Linked DNA regions of Callithrix jacchus. The main gene of each other region encodes a partner of the protein of the gene in region 2 in a complex. Links are inferred from orthologs where the notes say so. Each region holds a gene or a part of one and is shown on either strand. Other genes may lie near its edges.

The links. The genes of interacting proteins can lie anywhere in the genome.
Region 1: TMEM216 (region 2) and B9D1 share a complex: the UniProt entries of both Homo sapiens proteins name them as parts of the tectonic-like complex. The link is inferred for Callithrix jacchus from reciprocal best matches to the Homo sapiens genes TMEM216 and B9D1.
Region 3: TMEM216 (region 2) and TMEM107 share a complex: the UniProt entries of both Homo sapiens proteins name them as parts of the tectonic-like complex. The link is inferred for Callithrix jacchus from reciprocal best matches to the Homo sapiens genes TMEM216 and TMEM107.

Annotation. Positions count from the first base shown.
Region 1 is NC_133506.1:83,259,313-83,263,471, reverse strand, and holds the start of B9D1 (B9 domain-containing protein 1), read left to right. Parts: upstream 1-1,359; 5' UTR 1,360-1,416; coding exon 1,417-1,479; intron 1,480-3,601; coding exon 3,602-3,670; intron 3,671-4,159. UniProt on the Homo sapiens protein: Component of the tectonic-like complex, a complex localized at the transition zone of primary cilia and acting as a barrier that prevents diffusion of transmembrane proteins between the cilia and plasma membranes.
Region 2 is NC_133511.1:118,390,728-118,394,748, forward strand, and holds the start of TMEM216 (transmembrane protein 216), read left to right. Parts: upstream 1-1,221; 5' UTR 1,222-1,241; coding exon 1,242-1,254; exon of another isoform or gene 1,255-1,486; intron 1,487-1,811; coding exon 1,812-1,913; intron 1,914-2,441; coding exon 2,442-2,534; intron 2,535-4,021. UniProt on the Homo sapiens protein: Part of the tectonic-like complex which is required for tissue-specific ciliogenesis and may regulate ciliary membrane composition.
Region 3 is NC_133506.1:74,652,738-74,656,937, reverse strand, and holds TMEM107 (transmembrane protein 107), read left to right. Parts: upstream 1-1,400; 5' UTR 1,401-1,525; coding exon 1,526-1,612; intron 1,613-1,788; coding exon 1,789-1,856; intron 1,857-1,956; coding exon 1,957-2,057; intron 2,058-3,478; coding exon 3,479-3,575; intron 3,576-3,796; coding exon 3,797-3,866; 3' UTR 3,867-4,041; downstream 4,042-4,200. UniProt on the Homo sapiens protein: Plays a role in cilia formation and embryonic patterning. Requires for normal Sonic hedgehog (Shh) signaling in the neural tube and acts in combination with GLI2 and GLI3 to pattern ventral and intermediate neuronal cell types.

The DNA.
Region 1 (4,159 bases), on a different chromosome or scaffold from region 2:
CTACACATCTGTGAATTTCTTCATTTCCTGGATCCAAGATAACGTCTCCAACGTCTCATTTGACACCTCTGCCAACAGACGCTCTTGGGACTGGCCCAAAATAAGACAGAGGGAGTGAAGGTTGTTAGCCTCTGGAGTCCTGCCTGGGTTCGAATCCTGACTTAGCTACTTACCTGCCTTTCCCATCGGAATCTGTTTCCTCCTCCGTAAAATGGAGATGTCTTCAATTACTCATTTATTCAAGAAGTTAGTAGTTACCAAGTGCTTACTATGTGACAGGCCACAAAGATACAAGACTGACTCATGGAGCTGGCAGTCTAGTGAGGGAGGCAAGCACTGGGCTGAATTATGACCGGAATAAATGTGCAAACACAAACAACAGGAGCTCTAAGAGAACCGGATCCACGTGTTCATGGAGGCTGTGACCTATTCGGGGCGTCCAGAGGGTAATTGACATTTGAACACGGTCTTGACAGACTCGTCGAGTCTGGCTAGCAACTCCCCTGAGCGCCCGCTGACTGGGGTGCCAGGCGCCGCCCACTGCAGGCCTCCGTTTCCCCAGCTTCGCACTGAAGAGCAATGACTTGGATGTAAGAATTCTTGAGGTCCCTCCCAAGTTTGTTTAATAAACTTTTTCGAGGGCGAGGGTCTCCAAGCCACAAAGGCGCATCCCCTTCACCTGTTTGGACCTTGCTTGACCCCAGGTGGGGAGCCTCTTCCAGCGTTAACCCGGGCAGCTATAGTCACGCCGCCCGCGCTCCGCAGCGCCTCCCTCCGCATCCTCGCAGTGAGGCCACAGCGACATCTAGTGGCTAAAGGTATTTTTAACACGGCTTGCCGCTGGCGTGAATCAGGGGCGCTGCTCGCCAGAACTCAGCCCTCTTCCGCCTCCGCGCTTCGTGGGGAGCCGGGCAGAGTCAGAGTGAACACGCACTCCCTGCGGTGCAATTGTGTCGCGCGATAGGACTGGCTTTTCCCGACAGCTCAGCGCTACCGCCCCAGTTTTCTTGGTCCTAGCTGCCCCAAGGATAGGTAGGACCTCGGTGTGGAGCCCCGCCCCTCGTTCCCCGCCCCGCACAAGCCCCGCCCCCTTACGACGGCGCTTGCTAACTGCGCCTGCGCGTGCTACACACACACACACACACACACACACACACACACACACACACTCTCACTCTCTCTCTCTCTCTCTCTCTCTTCCGCCTCCTCCCCTTCCCTCCTTCCCCTCCCCCCCTCCCCCTTCCCCCCCTCCCTCCTCCTCTCTCTCTCGCTCTCGCTCGCTCGCGGCTTTCGCGAAGGTGTCGCTACCAAGAAACGTGTCCCGCGCGCCACGCCGTCTGTTTCTAGGGCAACGCCGGCGTTTCTTAGCAACCGCGCGCGGCCTAGGTGGGTTCCTTCGGAACCCCCAACCTTGCCATGACGACCGCGAGTCCTAGCGTCTTTCTACTGATGGTCAACGGGCAGGTGGAGAGCGCCCAGGTGAGCGGCCGTGGACCCCGTCGGGGCCCGCCCCCCAGCGTCCCCCGGGGCCCTTCCCGCAACCCCGCGGGCTGCCCTGTGGCCCCCAGAGAGCCACGTCATTCCTCTGAGCCTCTCCGTTAGGCGGGGGCGGGAAGCCAGCATTGGAGGACTTGGCGCGAGGTTTTCGGGATCCTAAGTTCCGATGTGCAGGTGTAGAAGCAGACCTCGAGATGTTGAGCTAGTACTGAGGTCACACTCGGCCAAGCCTGTGGCCCCTCGCACGGATCATGCCCTCTAGGTTGAGTCACTGGCAGGAGCCTCCCAGGGTGTAACGCGAGGAGCCGAGGCTCGGCCGAGTTTCCGGTATTTGCTCCGTGTCGGGTGCCCAGCTACTGCCCCGCGCTCTAAATCCCCAGATCTTTGAACTCGGGTTGGAATCCAACCATCCAACGATGGTAGTGGCCTGGAATGCCCCAGGGAAGGTGTGCCTGTCAGGCCGGAGGGACAGGAAGCTACTCTCCATCCCCCTACACTTTAGAGGAACCGTTTATTGTAAACAAAAACCAACGCTCACCAAGTCCTCAATATGTGCCAAAGTCAGTGCTCAGCACTGCTTATTCCATCCTTACAACCTTGCCAGATAGGCACTACTAACACCCCCATTTCACAGCCGGGGAAACAGCCAAAGCAACTGGCCTGTCTGGGAATTGAACCCACGCCTGTGTGACCTCAAAGCTTCGCTACACTGTCCTTCCAGGTCGTTGGAGATGGTGTTTATTATATTATTGTGAGGTGTGACTGAGACGGTTTGGGTAAGGCTCTGATAGGGCCTGATGCTTTGTTGGTGTCTCCTGCCTTCCTGTTTCATCAGGAATACTGCTCCACCCTCCCATCCTGTCCGCCTCTGCCTTAGCCTAGTGCCTAAGACCACCTTTCTCCCCTCTCTTGTTCTATCCCATTAGGGGCTCTTGGCTGGGCTGAGTCACATGTGTCTGTGCTCTCAGCATCAACCCCCCCCACACACACACACTCACACTCACACTTCCTCCCTGCTCTGCTCTCAGCACCTCCCTCTTTTCAGGGCCTCAGCTCCAGCCTTGCATATGCCCTGTGCCTGATGGCTTCCTAGGTTCTCAGACCTTTCACTTCAGCACCATTCCCTTACACTAGCAGTCCTCAGCCTTTTTGGCACCAGGGTCTGGTTTCGTGGAAGACAGTTTTCCCACGGACAGGAGGTGGCAAGGGATGTTTTGGGGATGATTTGGGGACATTACCTTTATTGTACACTTTATTTCTATTATTATTACATTGTAAAGTATAATGAAATAATTATACAACTCACCGTAATGTAGAATCAGTGGGAGCCCTGAGCTTGTTTTCCTGCAACTAGATGGTCCCATCTGGGGGTGATGCGGTGACAGTGACAGATCATCAGGCATTAGGTTCTCATAAGGAGCGCGCAAACTGAATCCTTCATATGCAGTTCACAATAGGGTTCGTGCTCCTATGAGAATCTAATGCCGCCACTGCTCAGACAGGAGGCAGAGCTCCAATGGGGAACTGCTGTAAATAAAGATGAAGCTTTGCCCACTTGCCTGCTGCTCATCTCCTGTTGTGTGGACCCATTCCTAACGGGCCACGGACTGGTACCGGTTGGGGACCCCTGCCTTAGACCTCATCCGTGCCCAGCCCTGTGCTGGGCAATGGGGACACAGAAAGGCATGAAATCTGTTCTCTGCTTATAGTCTAGAGGAATTGACAGACTTAGGCACAGGCAATCATTGCTTTTATGGAGGGAAGCACAGGGCTACAGGAGCCAAGAGGAGACCTTAAACCAACCTGAGAGTGAGGGCAGCCTCCCTGAAGGGTAAGTTTTGAAGTATGAGCAGAAGTTTTCCAGATGAAGAAATAGAAAGGACAGATCAGACAGAAGGCAGAGCCTGAGCAAAAGCCTGGGACTCTCCGTGGACTCCCGCATCTTGGCCCTGAGCCTCTCCTCTGAACGCCAGGTCCACATCCCCAGCTGGCTCTTAGACTCAATCCCAGGTGCCTCGCGTTCAAAATTCCTCTTGGCTGCCCTTGTCTAGCAAACGCATTGGCCTCAGCATGAATACCGGTTGACAGACTGTGCTTTTTTCAGTTTCCAGAGTATGATGACCTCTACTGCAAGTACTGCTTTGTATACGGCCAGGACTGGGCCCCCACAGCGGTAAGCTGGACTCTTGGGCCTCCCTTACTTACCACCTTCATGACTTTTGGGGTTTCTGAAGGTGTCATACCCTTCCCCTCCCCATTCAGAACCAGTCAAGAGGTAGACACTGAATTCAGGGGACCCACACATGAGTTTTCCTGGTAAGCTGGAGCAGAGGACACAGCCACGGTTGGACCCCCTGATCCAGCCCCCAAGACCACTCACACGCCCTACCCTGTGAGCTTGCCCAGGGCAGCAAAGAGCAGCGCCTGCAGCAGGGGGCTGGCCCTGGTGAGCCAGCCTGGCTGTGGCTGAGCTGTGGACACTCTGGCCAGTCTGCTCACCATCTGGCCTCTCCTTAGCCAGTGGGGAGGACACATGTTTCTGTTGGGGGGTGTCAGATAATAAGGAGTGCATATTCTAGAATGTCAGTGAGCCAGAAGGGCGGTGGGGAGACCAAGCCAGGAAGTGACAGGGATGAGCCATGAGAGAGGGAGGCCGCGATCT
Region 2 (4,021 bases):
CCCCAGACGGAGTATCACTGTCACCCAGGCTGGAGTGCAGCGGCATGATCTCAGCTCACTGCAACCCAACCTCTGTCTCCCAGGTTCCAGCGATTCTCCTGCCTCAGCCTCCCAAGTAGCTGGAACTACTGGTGCACACCACCATGCCCGGCTAATTTTTGTATTTTTAATAAAGATGGAGTTTCGCCATGCTGGCCAGGATGGTTTCCAACTCCCGACCTCAAGTGATCCACCAACCTCAGTCTCCCAAAGTGCTGGGATTACAGGTGTGAGCTACCGCACCCAGCCAGCAACATGCTTTTACCGCTCAAAATCCGAATCAGGAGGCTTTGAAGCCCAGCTCACAGGCCGTCTTTTGGAAACTAACTTCGATTTCCATGTGGGAGCACTTTGTCCTCTCAGCTCTCACTGAACCACTTTATGTATCACGTGGTGACTCGTTTCAATTTGTGCTCCAGGAAAGGACGCTCTATTTCCCTGGTGTCTCTACCTGCTACTAAATAGGCCGCAGAAAAAAACCAATGCTGGCGGGGCACAGTGGCTCATGCCTGTAATCCCAGGACTTTGGGAGGCCGAGGTGGGTAGATCACCTGAGGTCAGGAGTTCGCGACCAGGCTAGGCAACATAGTGAAACCCCATCTCCACTAAAAATACAAAAATTAGCTGGGCATGGTGGCAGGTGCCTGTAATCCCAGCTACTCAGGAGGCTGAGGTGGGAGAATCGCCTGAACCCGGGAGGAGGTCGCAATGAGTCGAGATTGCGCCGCTGGTCCAGACTGGGTAACGAACGAAACTCCGTCTCAAAAGAAAAGAAAAAAAGAAACCAATGCTAACCCCCACCCCGCATTTGCAGAGATCCGTCGCGCACACCGTTTATCGTTTCCGATGAAAAAGGGGAATGGTGGGACTAGGACTTATTTGCCAATCCTGATCATATTGTCACAGCTGGCCACTTCCGCCCAACGCCCGGTAGCCCGAGAGCCTCTGGGGTCCTCCCCCACACCCCCGAGGTCCTGCAGACGACGGCGTCGTGGGCGGCCACTGTTTTAGGTCTGGAACTGGAACATCAAGCGAGAGTCACTTGCCGCCAGGCCCGGGTTCTTCCCGCTCGGGTTGGGCACAGAGCGCCGCGTGCGGTCGGAGAGCCCGGAAGCGCAGGCCGCTCCGTCCCCGTTTCCGGCAGCGCCTCGCTGCTCCTGGAGCCGCGGTGGTAGCGTACGCAGTTTCCATGGGGACTGAAGATGGCGCCGCGAGGTGAGATTCTGGAGGTGTGTGAGTCGCTGGTCCCTTTCCCTTCGGCCCCTCCCTCCCACCTCTGTCCCAGAGCTTGACCTAAACCCTCCTTTCTCAAGCGTTAGGGACTTGGCGCCTCCCTGGTCCAAAGCGGGCTTCCGCGGCCCCGCCCAGCCTGGGTGCCTGAAGGTCTCCGGGTGCGGGGCTCAGATAGCTACACATCCTCGGCTGGGCCTCTTCTAGGCTGGCTCAGGTACGAATATGTGGATCTCCGCGCCCCAACTTCCCCTCCCAAATAGTGACAGGGAGAGATCTTTGATCTCAGTTACCTCTTAACTTGTATCCCTGAAGCCGAAGGATCGAGTTTCACGGTGATTCCTGGGAAAGGAGGGAAGCCCCCTCCACACTCACCTCCGTACCCTCACCCCACTCATTATCAGCAACCAGAAGTGCCCCTAAGTGGCCGGTCCCATTAGTCCACTGCCCCTAGTTTTCCCCAAAGTAGATACCAACCCCTTCGAGGAGCCGAGAGGGAGCCGCCCTCCTGCCCATCCCACTTCTCTGTGCTCCTTTTTCAGGGAAACGGTTGTCCTCCACCCCCCTGGAAATCCTATTCTTTCTGAACGGGTGGTATAATACTACCTATTTCCTGCTGGAACTTTTCATGTTTCTGTATAAAGGTAAGGAAGGCTTGAGGCTTAGACACAGCATCTTTCCCCCACTTCAGGTCAGAGCCGTCTCCTACCAAGAACCTTTTTTGCCCTATGCAGTTCTTTGTCGCTGCAAGGCAGGCCTCCTCATCAGATGGCTTATTTGAGTACGATCCCACAGGTAGCCCCTCAGCAAGAATTTCTTGAATTTGGGAAACAGGGCCTTTCAGTTCTGACTCCGCCCACATTGCTGCTCTTTGCTGAGCTCAGCTGTAAGCCCATTGGTGACCCTCAGAAACTTCAGTGGCCTGTGTACCCTGTATATCCAATCATTTTGGAGAGTGGAGTCCCCAGAGACTTTTGGAGTTAGGGGTAAAATGCGGTAATAATGAGCCGGGGTTGGTTGCACTGTGAGTTTATGTATCCTGCAGCTGTAACACCCACCTCCTAACTAGTTCATGGACAGCTGAGACAGATGTCCTCTTTTTCCCAAGTGTGTGGCAGTCCTTGTGGGTGCCGTTATCTGTTGTTTGCAAACTCTGGCTTTTGTATTGGCAGGTCTCCTGCTACCATATCCAAAAGCTAACCTAGCACTGGATGTGGTGATGCTCCTCCTTTACCTTGGAATTGAAGTAATTCGCCTGTTTTTTGGTGAGTGTCGTCCAGAGAATATTTCCACTCCTTATGAGACAAACTGTAACTTGATTAACAAGAAAAGTACATAACCTAGGTTAACTATCAAAGATTGGATCTGGAGGTATATCCCTTTACTCCCTCTCTGAAGTTTCAAGTTGCTGCTTCTTAATTGGGTCAACATTTACCTGTTCGTTGCTCTCTAAGGCTAGAGATCAGCAATAGCATGGGATATTAGATGATTGATTCCTTTTCAGCTGCCTAACTGCAAGAAGAGTGCCTGGTTCCTCTCACTAGCTTTCTTGGGGAATAGGTTCAGTTATAACTCCATGTCAGGGAGGCAGTATATCCTGCACAGATCAGTCCCAAGATCCCTGACAATTCTCTGAATAAGGATCTCTCGTAGGATTTTATTTTATTTAATTGGAGTTTTGTTCTGTTGCCAAGCTGGAGTGACGTGGCATGATCTCGGCTAACTGTAACCTCTGCCTCCCCGGTTCAAGTGATTCTCCTGCCTCAGCCTCCTGAGTAGCTGGGACTAGGTAGTAGGTGTGTGCCACCACACCAGCTAATCTTTGTATTTTTAGTAGAGATGGGGTTTCACCATGTTGGTCAGGCTGGTCACGAACTCCTGACCCCATGATCCCCCTGGCTTGGCCTTGCAAAGTGCTGGGATTACAGGCATGAGCCACCTTGCGAGGACTGATTTGTGTGTTACAGGCCAGATTTGTTTGTTTTTGAGACGGAGTTTCACTTTTGTTTTCCAGGCTGGAGTGTAATGGCATGATCTTGGCTTCCTGCAACCTCTGCCTCCCAGGTTCAAGCGACTCTCCTGCCTCAGCCTCCCGAGTAGCTGGGATTACAGGCATGCACCACCATGCCTGGCTAATTGTATATTTTTAGTAGAGATGGGGTTTCTCCATGTTGGCTAGGCTGGCCTTGAACTCACGACCTCAGGTGATCCGCCCACCTCGGCCTCCCAAAGTGCTGGGATTACAGGCGTGAGCCACCATGCCCAGCCAGGACTTTTTTTTTTTTGAGACGGAGTTTCGCTCTTGTTGCCCAGGCTGGAGTGCAATGGCGCATTCTTGGCTCACTGCAACCTCCGCCTCCTGGGTTCAACAATTCTCCTGTCTCAGCCTCCCAAGTAGCTGGGACTACAGGCATGTGCCACCATGCCTGGCTAATTTTTTGTATTTAATAGAGACAGGGTTTCACCATGTTTGCCAGGACGGTCTCCATCTCTTGACCTTGTGCTCCACCCGCCTCGGCCTCCCAAAGTGCTGGGATTACAGGCGTGAGCCACCGCGCCCGGCCAGGATTTTTTTTTTTAGCATTTATTTATTTGAGACAGAGTCTCACTCTGTCACCTAGGCTGGAGTACAGTGGTGCGATTATAGCTCACAGCAGCCTTGAAGCCCTGGGTTCAAGCAGTCCTCCCACTTCAGCCCTGAGTAGCTGGGACCACAGGCGTGTGACACCATGCCTGGCTAATTTTGAATTTT
Region 3 (4,200 bases), on a different chromosome or scaffold from region 2:
TCGCCTCACTGCAACCTCCACCTCCAGGATTCAAGAAATTCTCCTGCCTCAGCCTCCCGAGTAGCTGGAATTACAGGTGCTCGCCATCATGCCCAGCTAATTTTTATATTTTTAGTAGAGACCGGTTTTCACCATGTTGATCAGGCTGGTCTAGAACTCCTGACCTCAGGTGATCTGCCCGCCTTGGCCTCCTAAAGTGCTGGGATTACGGCCATGAGCTACTGCGCCAAATTTTCTAAAATAAAGTTTAAGAACAAATGCCCCATTCTTTTTATAGAATTATAATTGTAGCGTTTCCCTTTTCATAGCATATAGTATCTTGCGGATTTGTTTGCATGTCTATTATTGATCTCCCTGACTAGAATCCACCTACTAGGTAATCAGTAAATACAAACAATATTTGAAGAAATGAGAAATGCCTCTTGGGCATATATTTAGACTGGCTAAAGGCACTGAGACGGGGAGTGAGGAAGAGGAAGCGGTTGTTCTCCGGGGAAATGAGCCGGGAGGACCCTTGAGAATGGGACTTGACAGCATTGCGAGAAGAAAGAGCTTTCCGATCAGCGGGGACCTGCGCTGAAACCCAAAGGTCATGAGGTTGCCGATGATAAGAGCTTCTTGGACTGTAGCTGGGTAATGTCGGAGGCCCAGCACCTCCAAGAGATAAAGAAATCTGATTTGAGTTTCCGTTCCAGTCAGCTCCAAGCCTCCCAGGGATGCAGGGACTGTCCATTCCCTCCATCCACTCCCACCCTTTCCGGTCCCCTTGCTCTGCCATTTTTTGCACTCTGCAAATCCCTCACCAAACTGAGCAAAGTTAGACTGAGAGAAATCAGTCTTCCTCAAGGAAAGTTCAGGCCTGGGGTCCTCAGACATCCAGGGGCTCCGTGACAATCTGTGACTGCTGAGCAGTCTAGGGACACCGCCTCTCCAAGTTCGGGACCCTTGTTTCTGAGGCCAGCTTGGTGGGAAGCTAAAGGCATACGGAGGAGGGGAAGGGGAGCGTGTCTGAGTCTTCGGCATGGCGGGGACCCGGACCTCAGCCCGGCATGGCGGTGGCGCGGCCTCAGGAGATCCACAATTGTCGGTGTAGAAGGGGCTGGGGGCCGCTCCCGGCAACTGCGGAAGCCGAGGTGCCCCCAGGCTAGCCCAGGTCGGTTTCCGTTCGTCGGTCCTGGGCGGGTAGATCGGGCGCTGCGGGGCCGTGCCACCTCGCACCCTCTCAGGAACAAAGGGCTTGGCTACGCGCGGATACCCAAACGTTGGGTTAGAATGGCATTCGGGGAAGCCCTGACCTGCGCAAGCCGGAAGAGGCCAGCAGCAGCTTGAGAATATACTGCTCTCGCGATGTTTTTCGAGAACGCGGCGCCGCGTTCGCGTACGGAGTTACCAAGGTAACTGGGCGGTGCCTGAGCGGGCGGGAAGGAGGCGTTCGTCTAGATTTTGTCCGCTTGCAGGGAGACTTCAGGAGTCGCTCTCTTTGAAATTCCGGCCTCTGAGACCGCCGCCCCTGTTTCCAAGGGCCATGGGCCGGGTCTCAGGGCTCGTACCTTCTCGCTTCCTGACGCTCCTGGCGCATCTGGTGGTCGTCATCACCTTATTCTGGTCCCGGGTAAGACCCACGGCTGACATCCGTCCGCCCCTATTCCCACCTCGGAGTGGTCCCAGCCCCATCTTGCCCCTCTCCCAGTGTCTTACCCACTTAGGTCTTCTCGTTCCCCGCCGCCCCCAGGCCTGCCTCGCCGCCCGTCCCTTTTTCACTTCTCTTCCTCTCTGCTCTGCTCCCAGGACAGCAACATCCAGGCCTGCCTGCCTCTCAGGTTCACCCCCGAGGAGTATGAAAAGCAGGACATTCAGTGAGCTCTCTCGGAATGGGCTGGTCAGAACGGAGAGGTGGTGGGAGTGGAGGGTTCTTAGAAGTCCAAGGGCCTGAGGCTGTCCACTTCCTTTCTGCAGGCTGGTGGCCGCGCTCTCTGTCACTCTGGGCCTCTTTGCAGTGGAGCTGGCCGGTTTCCTTCTAGGAGTCTCCATGTTCAACAGCACCCAGAGCCTCATCTGTATCCTTTCCTCCTGCTCACCTTTCCCACACGACCATTTCCATCAGGACTCCCTTCAGCCACCTGACACCATAGTGTCTGCTGTAACCAATCTCTCCAGTTCGGATATCTTCAAACATGTGCTAAATCCTGCTGTTTACTAGGCACTTAAAATCCCAAAATGAGAGTAAAACAGTTTTCGGCCAGGCACGTTGACTCATGTCTGTATTCCCAGCAGTGTGGGAGGCCCAGGCAGGAGGATTGCTTGAGGCATCATAGTGAGACCCTATGTCTACAAAAATAATAGTAATAATGAGAACTTCACCTTTTTTGTTTATCATGAGGAGGAGGCAGACACATATCTGTAATTCAGTGATAAGCAGGGTGCTATAGGAGTGTGTAAAGAGGGGTGGGCGCGGTGGCTCACGCCTTTATTTCAAGCAACTTTGGGAGGCCAGGACAGGTGGATCATTTGAAGTCATGAGTTTGAGACCAGCCTGACCAACATGGTGAAACACCATTCTCTACTAAAAATACAAAAATTAGCCGGGCGTGGTGACGGCACACCTGTAACCCCAGCTACTCAGGAGGCTGAGGCAGGAAAATTGCTTGAACCTGGGAGGCAGAAGTTGCAGTGAGCCGAGGTTGAGCCACTGCACTCTAGCCTGGGCAACAGAGTGAGACTCCGTCAAAAAACAAACAAGCGGGACACGGTGGCTCAAGCCTGTAATCCCAGCACTTTGGGAGGCCGAGGCAGGTGGATCACGAGGTCAAGAGATTGAGACCATCCTGGCCAACATGGTGAAACCCCGTCTCTACTAAAAATTCAAAAATTAGCTGGGCGTGGTGGCGTGTGCCTGTAGTCCCAGCTACTCAGGAGGCTGAGGCAGGAGAATTGCTTGAACCCGGGAGGCGGAGGTTGCAGTGAGCCGAGATTGTGCCACTGCACTCCAGCCTGGTGCCTGGTGACAAAGTGAGACTCTGTCTCAAACAAACAAACAAACAAACAAACAAACAAAAGGTAGAAAGCACAATGGGAACTCAGAAATGGCAAAGGAAATGAAGCACGTGGGTCAGAGAACTGTGAACCAGGAGTGCTAGAACCCTGGAGGCTGATTCCAGCAGAGCATATCAATTCGCTGTCAGCACTCCTGTGTGGCATGGTAGGAGAGCCTACTCTTACCTCTCATCTGAAGGGTCCAAGCTGGCCTCTAGATGTGGGGTAGGCTAGCCTGAGGTCCCATCTATGCAGTTACTTCTGGTCTCTCCTCATATGACCATCCTACAATTCAGAAGTCAGGGCTGCTGACTCTAGCCCTTGCAATATGGTGAGGGAGCAAGCGATGAACCTGAGTGCAGATGCCAACCCCACCACTGATGTTTTCTGATCCATCACTATCTGTCGATCCAAAGACTTTCCTTAACTGTGGTGCCTTCCCAAGCCATTGGGGCTCACTGTAGTGCATCCGTGGCCCTGTCCTTCTTCATATTTGAGCGTTGGGAGTGCACTACGTATTGGTACATTTTTTTCTTCTGCAGGTGTGGTAACACCCAATATTTGGGGATGAGGGAGGAAGGTTTACCCTAAATCTGAAAGTTTTCCCCCACCCGGTCCCTTCTTCCATGCATGAGATCCTGTAGTCTTTTTCATCCCCCATCCCCATGCCACCTGCCCTATACTTTCAGGGGTGGGGTCTCTAGTTTGGAGATTTGCATATTTATATTGAAAGGATTTCTGAATCTACCACCTGCTTCGGTAGTGCCCTTCCAGCTGTCACTGAAATGGCTTTATTCATCGCCATCTTTGGGCTGAAAAAGAAACCTTTCTGATCACCTTCCTGATGGTCGAAGGCTACATGGGAGGCCGCTTCGTATTCCTGGAAGAAGAAAGGCATAGGCTTCAGTCTTCCCCTTGGAAACTGCTTCTGCTAGAGGATATGTGTTGGATGTATGGGATTATCAGCATTGTATTTAGTGTTTTGTAATAAAATATGTTTTGTAGTAAGATCAAGAGTTATATAGTTTTCAGGGGACAATTGGGATGGCTTAACTATTGAAGAAAAAAACAACTACGCTGTTTTCTAGTCCTGCAGACCGTAAGATACTTGATATCGCTTCTATTTTGGTTATTACGGTAGACGTCTGGGGGAAGGAAGTGGGCGGG